Drosophila melanogaster: one gene and its partner. Changing the gene in region 1 together with any one later gene gives a genetic interaction. Each region holds a gene or a part of one and is shown in the gene's direction. Other genes may lie near its edges. The genes, in order: Eato and Ced-12.

Evidence for each region.
Region 2: of Eato (region 1) and Ced-12, changing one enhances a phenotype caused by changing the other (phenotypic enhancement), as found in Drosophila melanogaster (one study listed by BioGRID).

Annotation. Positions count from the first base shown.
Region 1 is NT_033779.5:13,782,304-13,790,140, forward strand, and holds the start of Eato (engulfment ABC transporter in the ovary), read left to right. Parts: upstream 1-1,780; 5' UTR 1,781-1,866; coding exon 1,867-2,049; intron 2,050-2,167; coding exon 2,168-2,291; intron 2,292-2,409; exon of another isoform or gene 2,410-2,482; coding exon 2,483-2,683; exon of another isoform or gene 2,684-2,747; coding exon 2,748-3,218; intron 3,219-3,276; coding exon 3,277-3,435; intron 3,436-3,493; coding exon 3,494-3,672; intron 3,673-3,906; coding exon of another isoform or gene 3,907-3,951; exon of another isoform or gene 3,952-3,976; coding exon 3,977-4,193; intron 4,194-4,255; coding exon 4,256-4,556; intron 4,557-4,619; coding exon 4,620-4,932; intron 4,933-4,996; coding exon 4,997-5,148; intron 5,149-5,209; coding exon 5,210-5,393; intron 5,394-5,495; coding exon 5,496-5,733; intron 5,734-5,793; coding exon 5,794-6,417; intron 6,418-6,484; coding exon 6,485-7,487; intron 7,488-7,553; coding exon 7,554-7,837. Other genes in the region: CG16890 (uncharacterized protein), read right to left, coding at 307-642, 694-1,134.
Region 2 is NT_033779.5:12,096,230-12,101,356, forward strand, and holds Ced-12 (Ced-12), read left to right. Parts: upstream 1-1,608; 5' UTR 1,609-1,721; coding exon 1,722-1,833; intron 1,834-2,126; coding exon 2,127-3,137; intron 3,138-3,197; coding exon 3,198-3,749; intron 3,750-3,812; coding exon 3,813-4,312; 3' UTR 4,313-4,610; downstream 4,611-5,127. Other genes in the region: CG6712 (uncharacterized protein), read right to left, coding at 1-191; Mt2 (methyltransferase 2), read left to right, coding at 357-417, 467-1,443; patsas, read right to left, coding at 5,019-5,127.

The DNA of each region.
Region 1 (7,837 bases):
GAAATAGTATTGTATTTTCGAACCTTCGATTTGCATTCGATGGATATAGAAATAGCGATTGAACTAGGTGCATGCCTGAAATGTAGCCATTCGGAAATGTTTCCAAAAATCAATCAGAGTCACAGCCTTAATGTCCAGTTCAACTTTAGATTTGGTGTCGGTTTTAACACGCAGTTCTTGTGAATAATCCTGTAAATGTGAGTGTACATGTACATCGTAGTTCGTAAGCGAACGCATCTAGCGGCCAGTAACTATAAAAAAGAGCACTAGTGTCTACGTTGAATCCAAATAAATGTGCTATGTATTTTAAAAAATGAGATCCTCTAGATATCGCTCGAATTCCTGCTCTCTGGAGGCTTGCTCTCGGCTTATATCGGGTTGTTGTTGCCAGATCTGTTCGTCTGCCGTGGTGGCATCCTTTGAGTCTGTGGGCTCCTTGCTGGCTTCTGGATGGGATTCGGATGCTGGTTCGACAGGCTCCTCCTCCTCTTCGCCAGAACTTTCGTGACCAACATCGAGTTTTCGACGCTTACGTTTCTTTTCAGCGCGCCGTTCCTCCTTTTCCCTGCGTCTCCGCTTCTTGCATTCTCTCTTCTTGGTGCGGTAGTTCAGCTGATCCGTGTGGGTGGGACACAGCCGCACCTATGGAATTCCCATTAGTGACACAATCGCGGAAACCCATTTGGAACCCACCTTGACCAGCGCATTTAGGGGCTCACCCTTTTCGATATACCTAAAGTTTACCTCCCAGCTGCGCAGATTATCCCGCTCCCCGCAATGCCGGCTGCCGCACTGGAACTGCCCGGTTCCGGTGACCACCTCCTGCTCCGTTCGCCAGCGCAGCGCTATCTTGTTCTCCTTGTAGCGGGACAGGTCCGCGATGCAGTACTCCTTAAATAGCTTCCTGTAGTATCGCAGGGCCAAGCGCTGCTCCCAGCTTAGGGTGTCGCTATCCAACTCGTCGTCCTCCCACAGGAAGCGGTGATTCTCTCGGATTACATCGATGTCTCGCTTGTGCCGACGTGATTCCGTCTCATTCGGTAGGTTAAGCACGTAATTACTAAGTATATAGTTGTGTCGCTCCTTGGCACTCAGGTTGTTCAGATTCACTGGGAATAATTGCGAGCCGCTCATTATGATAAAAAATTTATAATAAACAGACTTCGATTTCAGGGCACTGCCTATCGATATATCGAAGACTGTGGTCCTACTCTGGCTATTTTTACGCTATATATTAAACGATAAATAAAATGAAGCTGCAAAATTTAATCACAAATTGAAATTATTCCAACTGAATATAATAAATAAATTTTAATATATATTATTGTTATTAACCAAAATAAAATGGCTATAACAAGTTTAGAAGAATGGCCCGTAATGGCGAAACTGCATGGTATTAATCTTAGCCAATACATATACTGTTTACACACTGTGGAATAAGTTAAATTTCTTACTTTAAAGGTACAAATTAAGAGTTCTTTGCTTAATTAAATGCAACTTTTTATGAAATATAATTAAACAATATTTATTTTACTTATAAATCAAAAAAACAAATTAAAAATGTGAAATATACAAGAAAATAAAAAACAAATTCCAAGTTTACACACTTTTTAAAATTATTTTATGACCCCCATTGGCTTTGGCTACGAGTAGACTGTACACTTATCAGTAAACAATAATTATTTGTAGCGTTCCTCCGTTTTTTACTACAAGTCCAATGTTATTGAATTCATTCCCACAGTGACTCAAGTCTCAGGAGCGGGTGCGGTTCCCATTTCGATAAGTATTACTATCGACGTTGATAGAGAAAAAATGCCATTCAACAAAGCAAAGTAAAATTAGGGAAAAGTTGATGTTAAACAGAAAATGGCTGGGACTTTTACCCCGCTGTTCTTCGTCTTTCTGCGGAAGAATTTGCTCTACTTGCAACGCAACTTGCTGCCCCTGCTCCTTATCTGCTCCGGATTTGCCGGAGTACTCACCGCGTACCTCCACTGGTCCGTCAAGCCCGTGCTTCACCAAATTAACCAGTTTGAAGCAAAGAATGAAGTAAGTTTCCCTCGCACTGCTACTTTATCTGCTTTTTATATTTGTACATACGTATGCATGTGATAACAAACCTGTGACCACACTAATCCTTATCATTGGACTTCAATTTATTTATTAGATGGTTCTTAGAGAATTGTACTTTCCCGGTAATGAGCTGGATTACATTTACTACTCACCCATCTCTCCCAATGTAGAGGACATTATGGATCTCCTGCGTGTAGATCTGGGAATTATACCAGAGCGTAAGTGCATTTCCAAATTATCTCATAAATTAGATATGTGGAAAAGTTTGTATGGTAAACGTAAACGTTTCCGACCATATAAAGCTTATATGTACTTTTGATAACGATCATACAAAATAACATACAAAATTCACTGCATATATTTGCGATACTATCTTCTAGATTGTATTTAACAATATTTCATTGCGCAGGACTTCGGCCCAACAACAACAGCTTCGAGATGCAGCTGGAGATGGAGCAACAGTGCCGTGGAAGCTGCTTCGCAATTGACTTCCACCGGGTACCGAACCGTGGCTCTGACAGAAAGTTCCGATACAGCCTCAGCTCAAATCAGATGCGCATTTCGCCCAGAAAGCGATTTGTGAACGACGAGGAAATTTATCACCAGATAGGTGCGTGTTCAATTTTTCCATTGTTACCGTTTAACGAACCCGCATGTTGGTTTTTGTTTATCAGATGATGATGATTATATTCGTTCCGGATTCCTGTCCTTGCAACACATATTGGACAAACAGTATATGAAATACCAGGAGCTCGGGAAAGACTTTGAGGTGGTGGTCAGCTCGATGCCCAACATGGAGGTCATCAGCATGGATAGTCATCGATTGACATATTTCGGAACACTGTGCAGCATTCTATTCAATGTGGTCCTACTAAGCAGCTTTGTGGTGCCCTTTGTGGAGGAGAAGCAAAACGGACTGAAGGAGTTTCTCAACCTGGTCACGCCCATGAGTTTCCTCAACGGCCTCACTTTCTTTCTCATTCGGTTTGTGTGCTACACATTGCTTATGATCTTTGTCCTGGTCGTTGCATATTTATACAAGGCCCTGGGCTCCATCTGCTTTGCTTACGTGGCAGTGTTGTTTCTGCTTTACATTTTGTCAACCATGTCGTATGCTTATCTGATCTCTATTTGCTTCCACTCAGGTAAGTAATTACATTGATATATTCAGCAAAGTTTACTAATCTTCTACATAACTTACAGTTTTCTATGCGAAAATCGGAGGGCTGGCAATGCTAATAATTCCCTATGCATTCTCATTTGTTCGAAGCTGGGCCACATCGCTGGCATTTGTGTGTTTTAGCACGAATACCTTTCTGGAGGGATTGGATATTTTTCAGACATTTTCAAATAAGCGTAAGAGTTTAAATTGGTTTTTAGTAGCTTAACATTTAAATTTGAACACTGGCTTTTTTTGAAGATCGCGAATTCGGTGCTGTGGATGTATTTCGCGTAATCAAAAGCAATTCCTCAACGATGTTTTCGGTCTACGTGGTTCTCGTCTTTCAATCCTTTTTGTATGCCATGCTCTACAACTATTTGGGTTGTGTTTTTCCCGGTCCTGGTGGACTAAAGCGACCGATGTTCTTTTTCCTAGATGTAAGTACTATTTCCGAAGTCCGAACCAATGATATTTAATGTCGGTATCAGATCAAAATTTTCGCTCGTGTGATATATTTTCTTATCTCGACATAAGCTTCAATTCAGTTCGTATTATAATTTTATGTTCATTATAATCAAGTATGAGATCAGATGCAGTAAGACTCTTTATTTCAATAGGTTACTTTGATCGAATCTTGTTTATTGAAATCGGTTAAAATGTCCTTTTTACAGTTCCGTATCGGTTATCGGCTGCATAACCAAACAGGGTTAAATTAAGAATTTTCTTTATTCTAAACCATAGCCCAAGACTTACATGAAACGACAACGCAACGAATACACGACGACACCGCGCGGCACTCATGCTATCATAATCACTGAGTTGTGCAAGAAGTTCCAGACAAGCAAGCGCGATACGCTAATTTCGGACAACTTGAACATGACGATCAACAACAAGGAGATTACTGTCCTGCTGGGCCACAATGGAGCTGGAAAAACAACCATGATGAACATGATAATGGGTAGGGACTCAAACTCAATTCGCTTCCTCGGCCATCCAATGCACATGTTGATTCTCTTTCAGGATTGGTACCAAAGGATTCGGGCAAGATAATTGTGTGCAGTGAGCGCGATGTGGCCTCCTATCGCCACCTGATTGGATTCTGTCCGCAGCACAGCGTTTTCATGAGCTACATGACATGTCACCAGCACTTGGAGTTCTTTGCCCAGCTGCGGGGAGCTTGCCGATCCGATGCACGCGATTGGGCAGATGAGAAACTTAAGAAGCTGGGACTTAGCGATAAGCGAAACGAATTCGGCAAGAATTTGTCTGGAGGCATGAAGAGGCGTTTATCACTGGGTATCGCCATTGCCGGTAACACCAAGTAAACTTAAGAGATATATTGCTTAAAGATATTCGGTTTAAAAATCTTTGTTTAATCTCGCAGAATCGTAATCCTTGACGAACCATCATCGGGATTGGACATTAACTCGCGTCGTGAGCTGTGGGACATCCTACTTAATCTACGCAAGGAGAAGGCCGTTCTGGTCACCACGCACTACATGGAGGAGGCCGAGGTCCTTGGGGATACCATCTGCATATTGGCCAATGGAAAACTGCAGAGCATCGGGAGTCCTTTGGAATTAAAACGAAAATCGGGAATTGGTTATCGTCTCAAATTAGAGATCAACGATTTTACATCAAGAGAAGTGGAAATCATGGAAATAATCCATCACTTTGTGCCAACAGCCAGAGTCTTGGTAAGTCATTAATAAATGAACTTTATATAAGGCGTGTGCATAATATCCTTTAAACGTTGAACAGAATGTGGTGAATCCTACTGTGTATATCTGCCTGCCGTATGCCTATAAAAATTGTTTCGCACAAATGCTTTATAGGCTGGAGACTGAATCAAAGGAACTGGGCATACATACAATTTCCATGACCGACACTTCCCTGGAGGATGTTTTCCTAAGGTAGGGATTGGAAGATACATTGTTTATTGTTTTTGCTTTAATATCTTATGTGGTGTTTTAGATGCGCAGGCGAACAGGATCAAGTGGATACCCCCGATGGTTCGCGCAATGATGCGCCGCTACTGGCACACTACAAAAGACTCCAAGACCATCCCCCTCATCGCGGACTTTTTCAACTTTGGATGGCTGTGTTTTACAAAAAGTGGACCTTTATTTCCAATGAATGGTTATATACTCTGATAATGGTAAGTTGTTAGCAATTTGTAGGACTTTGCTCTGTTGTATAAACGGCGAAAACAACTAAAACTAAAACGAACTAAAAACTTTTTGTGCTCCCCTCTCGCTAGCTGTGCATTCCCTTTGTATGCGTATTCGGGGCTATACTGGTGATGCACGCCATGTCCTTGGTGGAGAACGAAGAGGCTCTGCCGCTGAAGCTCAGCCAGATGGGCAGTGGCGTTATATACGTTCACAATCCAACGGGCCATCACGCCCATTTGGAGCAGCAGCTGCGTCAACAGATCGAGCTGAATGGAATCACAGCGAAAACAATGCACCTGCGTGGGAGTAATGATGTGAAAAATGGTGAGTATGCGACGTTGTGCTAAACATTTTAATGGCTCTATCAATACATGTGTTCTCTAGAATCCCTTGACTTACAACGCGACAACTTGGCTGATTTCTTGGAGCAGGTGATTGGCATTATTGACATGTACGGAGGTGGGCGTGGCACCTCCGATACGCCCACCATTGAGATTTTTTACTCAGGCAATCGCTACCACAGCTCTGTGGAGCTTATCAACCTGGTGGACTCGGCAATGCTGAAGCTAGGGCGTCCAGAGTCTGAAATTGATACGACTTACGTGCCAATTCGTCGATTTGTTAGCGACATAAGTCCATCGCGCCTCGAATACTATGCGGTCATCGTGCCGATCGGCATGTTCTTCTTCATGTTCTATTTCATCTCATTGCCGTTTCGGGAATATGCCAATGGATTCAAACAGCTGCAGACCATGTCGCGATTTACTTATTGGTTTGCGCATTTTACTTTTGATATGCTGATCCTGATCTTCGTCTGCGTTGCCCTGTTCAGTCTGCAATCCTTGATGATGCCCTCGGAGCTGTATACAACGGCTGAACTTAAGGTCATTGTGTTAAGCATATTTTTCTACGGCTGCAGCTACCTGCCCATTCTATACGCCCTGGGAAACAACTTTAAGTCGATATCCACGATATCTACTTATTTGCTTTTGATGCTGATTGTGTCCGGTAATATTATTTGATTTTATAACCAGTGACAACAATTAGAAAAACTATAAAACCCATTTTCTTTTAGCCATTGCCCCACTTATCACCTCCAGCAATGCGGCGGCCATGAAACTGCATGAGACCAAGATCGCCTTCCTCTGCTTCCTACCGGACTTCAATCTTAATCACCAGTTTCGCATCATCAATGAAAACTTTATAACCCGACGCCATCCGGCACTTATAAAGGGTCTTATCAGCCAGGACACCTTCTTTGCCTATGCCACCGCCGTGGGTGTTATGGTCATGGCATTCTTTACCATAGTCCTGGAACACAAGTATCTGCGCAGACGAATTCATGATGGCATCTGGGAATGGGCATTCCAAAGAAAGAAATACAATTCGACAGGCACCCTTCCCAGTACTCCGATCTCAGAAATTGATGATTGTGCAAGGGAGGAAAAACGGGTTACCGATCTGATAAAAGACCCATTGAACGACCATTCACTGATTGTGCACAATCTTCGCAAGCGATACGGCGATAAGCTGGCTGTGGACGGAGTCAGCTTTGCGGCTGCCCAGGGTGAATGCTTTGGTCTGTTGGGTGTTAACGGAGCGGGTAAGACAAGTACCTTTCAGATGATAGCGGCCAATTTGCCTCTAGATGGTGGCACTATCCGCATCAAAGGCGCAGACATTCGCGAGCATGAGTTGAAATACCGGGAATACTTTGGCTACTGCCCTCAGTACGATGCACTAAATAAATTCATGACCGCCGAGCAGTGCCTATACTACATGGCATTGCTGCGCGGCCTGAGCCGCCGAAGGACCGATGGACCAGCCAGCTGCAAGGAGCACGTGAAGTACTGGCTAGAGAAGATGCATTTGACCAAATATCAAAAGGTGCAAGTGCGCCACTATTCGGGCGGCACGAAACGCAAGCTTCTGGCGGCAATGGCCATGATTGGTGCACCCGCACTGGTGCTCCTGGACGAACCTACCACCGGTGTGGATCCCATCTCGAGACGATTTCTTTGGCAATGCATCAAGGATTTCCAGGGAAAGGATCGAACAGTGGTGCTCACATCACATAGGTAAGCCCAAAAAAGTATATTTCCTTTTCAAACAGATTCAAAAGTGTACACATTCTCTACAAACAGCATGGACGAGTGCGAAGAGCTGTGCAATCGCTTGGCCATCATGGCGCACGGAAAGTTCAAGTGTCTGAACAATATTTGCGCCCTTAAGCGATTAAGCGGCTTCACGATAAAACTGAAAATGAAGGCGGACACCGAAACGGAGATGAATGTGTCCACGATCACTGGCACGTTGAAGTCAGAGTTTCCTGGTCTGGAACTGCGCGAGAGCCATGCCGGCACACTCACCTACTTTGTTAGCACGCAGGAGAGTGTGGTCCTTTGGTCAAGTGTTTTCAAGATAGCTG
Region 2 (5,127 bases), 1.7 Mb from region 1:
TTTAAATCCTCACTGGCTTCCCCTTGTTTGGCCGTTTTTTTGCTGCTGGAGGCGGCTTCTTCATCGCTGCTATCAGTGACTGGCCCCTCCTGGACTTCCAAATCCTGTGGCTCCTCCTCGTCAAAGCTGGAATCGCTGTCCGAGTCCTGTTCCACGGGCGGAGGGGCTGTTTTTCGCTTAATTTTTATCATTATTCCGAGAGAATCACGAATTCACAAAAATGCGAGCGGCACGTGTTGATATTCTTCTTCTTATACCAATCACACGGAAACGCAGACAATCTGCTGTGTGGGGCAGTGTTGGAAAACGTGCCACTCACAACGTGTAGTTTGTAAACAAAAATATATTTAATTAAAATGGTATTTCGGGTCTTAGAACTATTTAGTGGCATTGGCGGCATGCATTATGCCTTTAATTGTGAGTTCGTCGATCATGATACATGCGAAACTAATATATACTTTTGAAGATGCCCAATTGGATGGACAAATAGTTGCCGCCTTGGATGTCAACACCGTGGCCAATGCGGTTTATGCGCACAATTACGGCAGTAATTTGGTGAAAACTAGGAATATTCAAAGCCTGAGTGTAAAGGAAGTCACAAAGCTTCAGGCCAACATGCTGCTGATGTCCCCGCCATGTCAGCCCCACACTCGCCAGGGATTGCAAAGGGACACGGAAGACAAGCGATCGGATGCACTTACTCATCTGTGTGGACTGATCCCAGAGTGCCAGGAACTGGAGTACATACTCATGGAAAACGTCAAGGGTTTCGAGAGCTCACAGGCGCGAAATCAGTTTATTGAATCGCTGGAGCGGTCGGGATTCCATTGGCGGGAGTTTATTCTAACGCCAACGCAATTCAATGTGCCAAATACTCGATATCGCTACTATTGCATCGCCCGCAAGGGTGCAGACTTTCCATTTGCCGGTGGAAAGATCTGGGAAGAAATGCCGGGTGCTATAGCCCAGAATCAGGGTCTTTCACAAATTGCCGAGATTGTGGAGGAAAATGTATCACCCGATTTCCTGGTGCCCGACGATGTCTTGACCAAAAGAGTGCTGGTCATGGACATAATACATCCTGCTCAAAGTAGATCCATGTGCTTTACAAAGGGCTACACCCATTACACCGAGGGCACGGGCTCTGCATACACACCGCTTTCGGAGGACGAATCCCACCGCATCTTCGAGTTGGTCAAGGAAATTGACACAAGTAATCAGGATGCATCGAAGTCGGAGAAGATTTTGCAGCAACGCTTGGACCTGTTGCACCAGGTGAGACTGCGCTATTTCACGCCACGGGAAGTTGCTCGTCTAATGAGTTTTCCGGAGAATTTTGAATTTCCGCCAGAAACAACGAATCGACAAAAGTATCGACTGCTGGGAAATAGTATTAATGTAAAGGTTGTCGGTGAACTTATTAAATTGCTGACGATAAAATAAAACAAAATACAACATATTTGCTTGCTTATTTTCACTTTAATACATTTATTAGCTAGGAAATTACTCTGCGCTGTTATCATTAAAATATTTATTTCAAATCCACATAATTTTCCCGCCCAGTGTTGCCTATGCCACAAAACGCAACGGTTGTGTGCTGTGTGATATTCCATACTACTTGTCAATTGGTCACACTGCACTGAATTAAAAAAAAAAAGAATATAAGTTTACGCAGAAAAACAATAATAATTGCAATTATCGCTAATTGAAAGAGTGCCAAAATGATACCAAAAAAGACGACGGTTAAGGATTCACACATTGTGAAAATAGCCGTGGAGCGAGAGGACCATATAGCGCAGTTGATAAATCTGGATCAAAGGCATCCGCTGGCAAGTGAGTAAATAGCGGATAAAAACAAAGATTTTTCGCTTGCTGAGCAGCAGTTTTAAAGAGAATCTGCTTTAAACATGTAAAACAAAGTTCCAAGAAGTTAATAAACCAGAATTATGTTGAAAGTAGCAAAGGAACCCATCATAAGGGAGGAACTTCCAACCAACGCCCTTCGCTATGTTTAAGTGTTATCGTGATGTCAGCGCACTCATTTCCTCTTTCTCATTTATATGCAAATCATACAATTGGTCAGGAAGTTGCTATTTACAGCGTATTAATGCCGCCTTCGCTTGCAGGTAAAATCCAGGAAATTTGCAATGGTTGGTCCATCAGCGATCACCAGAACTATGCACTCCAGTTCTACGAGCCCACTAACCGAAAGTACGTGACCGAAAAGAATCGCAATGAGATCAAGAATGGCTCCGTACTGCAGCTGCAGTATTCGCCATCCAAGACTGCCTGCGATGCCATGGAGGTGCTGCTCAATGGCAGTCCACAGGAGAAGGCGCTGCGTCTAAAGGAGCTCACTTCCCTAAGCACCGATCACACATTTGCCCTGGAGTTCATCAAGGAGAAGGGTCTCGACACACTCATTAAGATGATTGAGGATGGCGGCCAGACCAACGAAGACATTCTGAAATACAGCCTGGCCAGCTTTGTGGAGCTGATGGAGCACGGCACGGTGTCCTGGGAGGTGCCGGAAAACTCATTCGTGGCCCGCAACATTGAGATCGTGCGAAACTTTCAGAAATATCCTACGAACTGTGGTGAGAGCGCCCTGTCCAACTTGGAGAACATTGTTATGTGCAGCAATAAACATGTGCTTGTTGCCGAGGACATCAAGCTGCAGGATATTCTCCGATTGCTTCAGGATGTCAATTCGCCGGTGATGCGACAAAATGCCATAGCCCTGCTGAACGCTCTGTTCGTCAAAGCAGACGAGGGCCGCCGCAGGACCATTGCTCAAACTATTAGTGCCAAGCAGTTCCGCCTGGCCCTTATCGGCAATGGACTGGGCACAGAGATGACCCACCAGCTGTACGTGCTGCAAACGTTGACTCTCGGCCTGTTGGAGAAGCGCATGCGTATGAAGATGAACGCGCAGGACCAGGACGCGCACGAGAAGATCAAGGAGCTGCGGCGCATTGCCTTCGACGATAATACCAACGCTTTGAATCAAAACGACGATCACATCCGTCGTGGCGGTGGCTCCGGAGCTGGCAATGTCAACTTCTCGCAGTACTACAAAAAGCTGGGCTTCAAGTGCGATATTAACCCTGCCCAGGATTTCATTGAGACGCCGCCGGGTAAGAATATGTTCTTATATTAAAGCTATTTTGGTTGATAATCCGAAACGTATTTCTCAGGTATATTAGCGTTGGATTGCATGGTGTATTTTGCACGCAACTACACGCAACAGTATGCGAAGATCGTCAGGGAGAACTCCTGCCGTGCGGATGAGCACGAGTGTCCCTTCGGACGCACCTCCATCGAATTGGTCAAGGTGCTATGTGACATCCTTCGCATCGGCGAGCCACCAGCCGAGCAATCCGGTGACTTTCAGCCCATGTTCTTTACGCACGATTCGCCGTTCGAGGAATTCTTTTGCATATGCGTCATTACGCTGAATCGCACATGGAAGGATATGCGTGCCACTGCCGAGGACTTCAGCACAACCTTCAGCGTGGTGCGGGAGCAGATCCAGCGCACTCTAAAGGGCAGACCCGAGAACCTGGACGATTTCCGAAACAAGATCGCTTTGTTGACCTATCAGCAGATCACAACACTGCGCCAGCAGGAGCGCACTTCGAAGGAGGAGTGTGATTCCACAGCTTCGGCGATTGTTAAGCTCAAAGAGAAGATATCACCGCAAATTCTTGAGCTAATCAAGCAGCAACGGCTCTCTTTTCTGGTGGAAGGTACAATTTCTAATAAATACATTTCAAGGGCAATCTTAACATGGATAAATCTTGCACTTATAGGTACACATTTTGCAAAATACTTGCGAGGCACTCGAACAAAGGACAAGTTCTGGTACGCTCGTCTTTCGCCGAATCACAAGGTGATTCATTACGGAGATTGCGACGAGAAGACAATACCCACCATGGAGGAGTTGCCCAAGAAACTGCCCATCAGTGAGATTAAGCAATTGCTAGAGGGCAAGGAATGCCCGCATATGAAGGAAACTCGCATTCGGAAATCGGCGGTAAACCTGGCCTTTTCCATCACCTTCGAAAACATGGAGCACTCTACGTTGGACTTTGTGGCACCCGACGAAAGCATATTCAACTACTGGACGGATGGAATAAACGCGCTGCTGGGTCAACCGATGGTCAGCAAGCAAAAGAACGAGGACTTCGACACTCTGCTGTCGATGGAGATCAAATTGCGCCTGCTGGACACGGAAGGTGTGGACATCAGCAAGGACCCACCGCCAATACCGGAGGATCCCGAAAACTATGATTTTTGCTTTGAGAGCTAAGCATAACGAGCACAATTACTTCACGAATTATTCGATTCATTCTAGACTCCCCCATCACCCAAGATACATGCCAAAGTGTACACACAACATAATCGTATTCTCCGATCTGATCTTCTACTAGTATTACTTGTGCAATTCCCCGAACACAAAATGAACAAACTGGTGACGGTCACGTCCAAGTGACTAACCGCTGCCTAGCCATTTAGTGAACTTTACACCATTTATGATTATAATAGGTATATAATATATAGAGATCATTAAATAACACATTTTATACATAACAATTTTGTACAAAAACTAACAAGAGAAGCGTATTCTTATCCAAGCCTAAAAGGTAATTAGTTAGTTAAAAAAAGCAAAAAGCACGGCTGGCCGATGCTTTGAACACCATTGCGGAAGGAATTGATTTGGAGCCGTTAACAATAATGGAATCTTAGCAATGTAATTTATTGATGCTCTGAATTGCACTTGGAATTTGCTATCGATTTGTCCTTCCGCAAGGATATGTTGATTGCAATTGTAAATGATAAAACACGCACTTGACGACCTTTGGTTCGAACTTTAAAGCATTCGAGTAAGCAGTAAGCCTGCGGAGCAAAACCAAACTGGCAGCCTACCCGAGTGGGTCTCTGGCTGCCTCCTCGCAACATTATCCACGCACGGGCAGCTTGCGCCGGCGAGCAGGGGCTCGATCCTAGATCCTTAATCAAATGTTATCCTCCAGCAGGAGATCGTTGTCATCGCCCCGGTCCGGCAGGCAGACAAAGAATTCGAGTAAATTCAGGATGGGACCACGCGAGAAGGGATTCTGATAT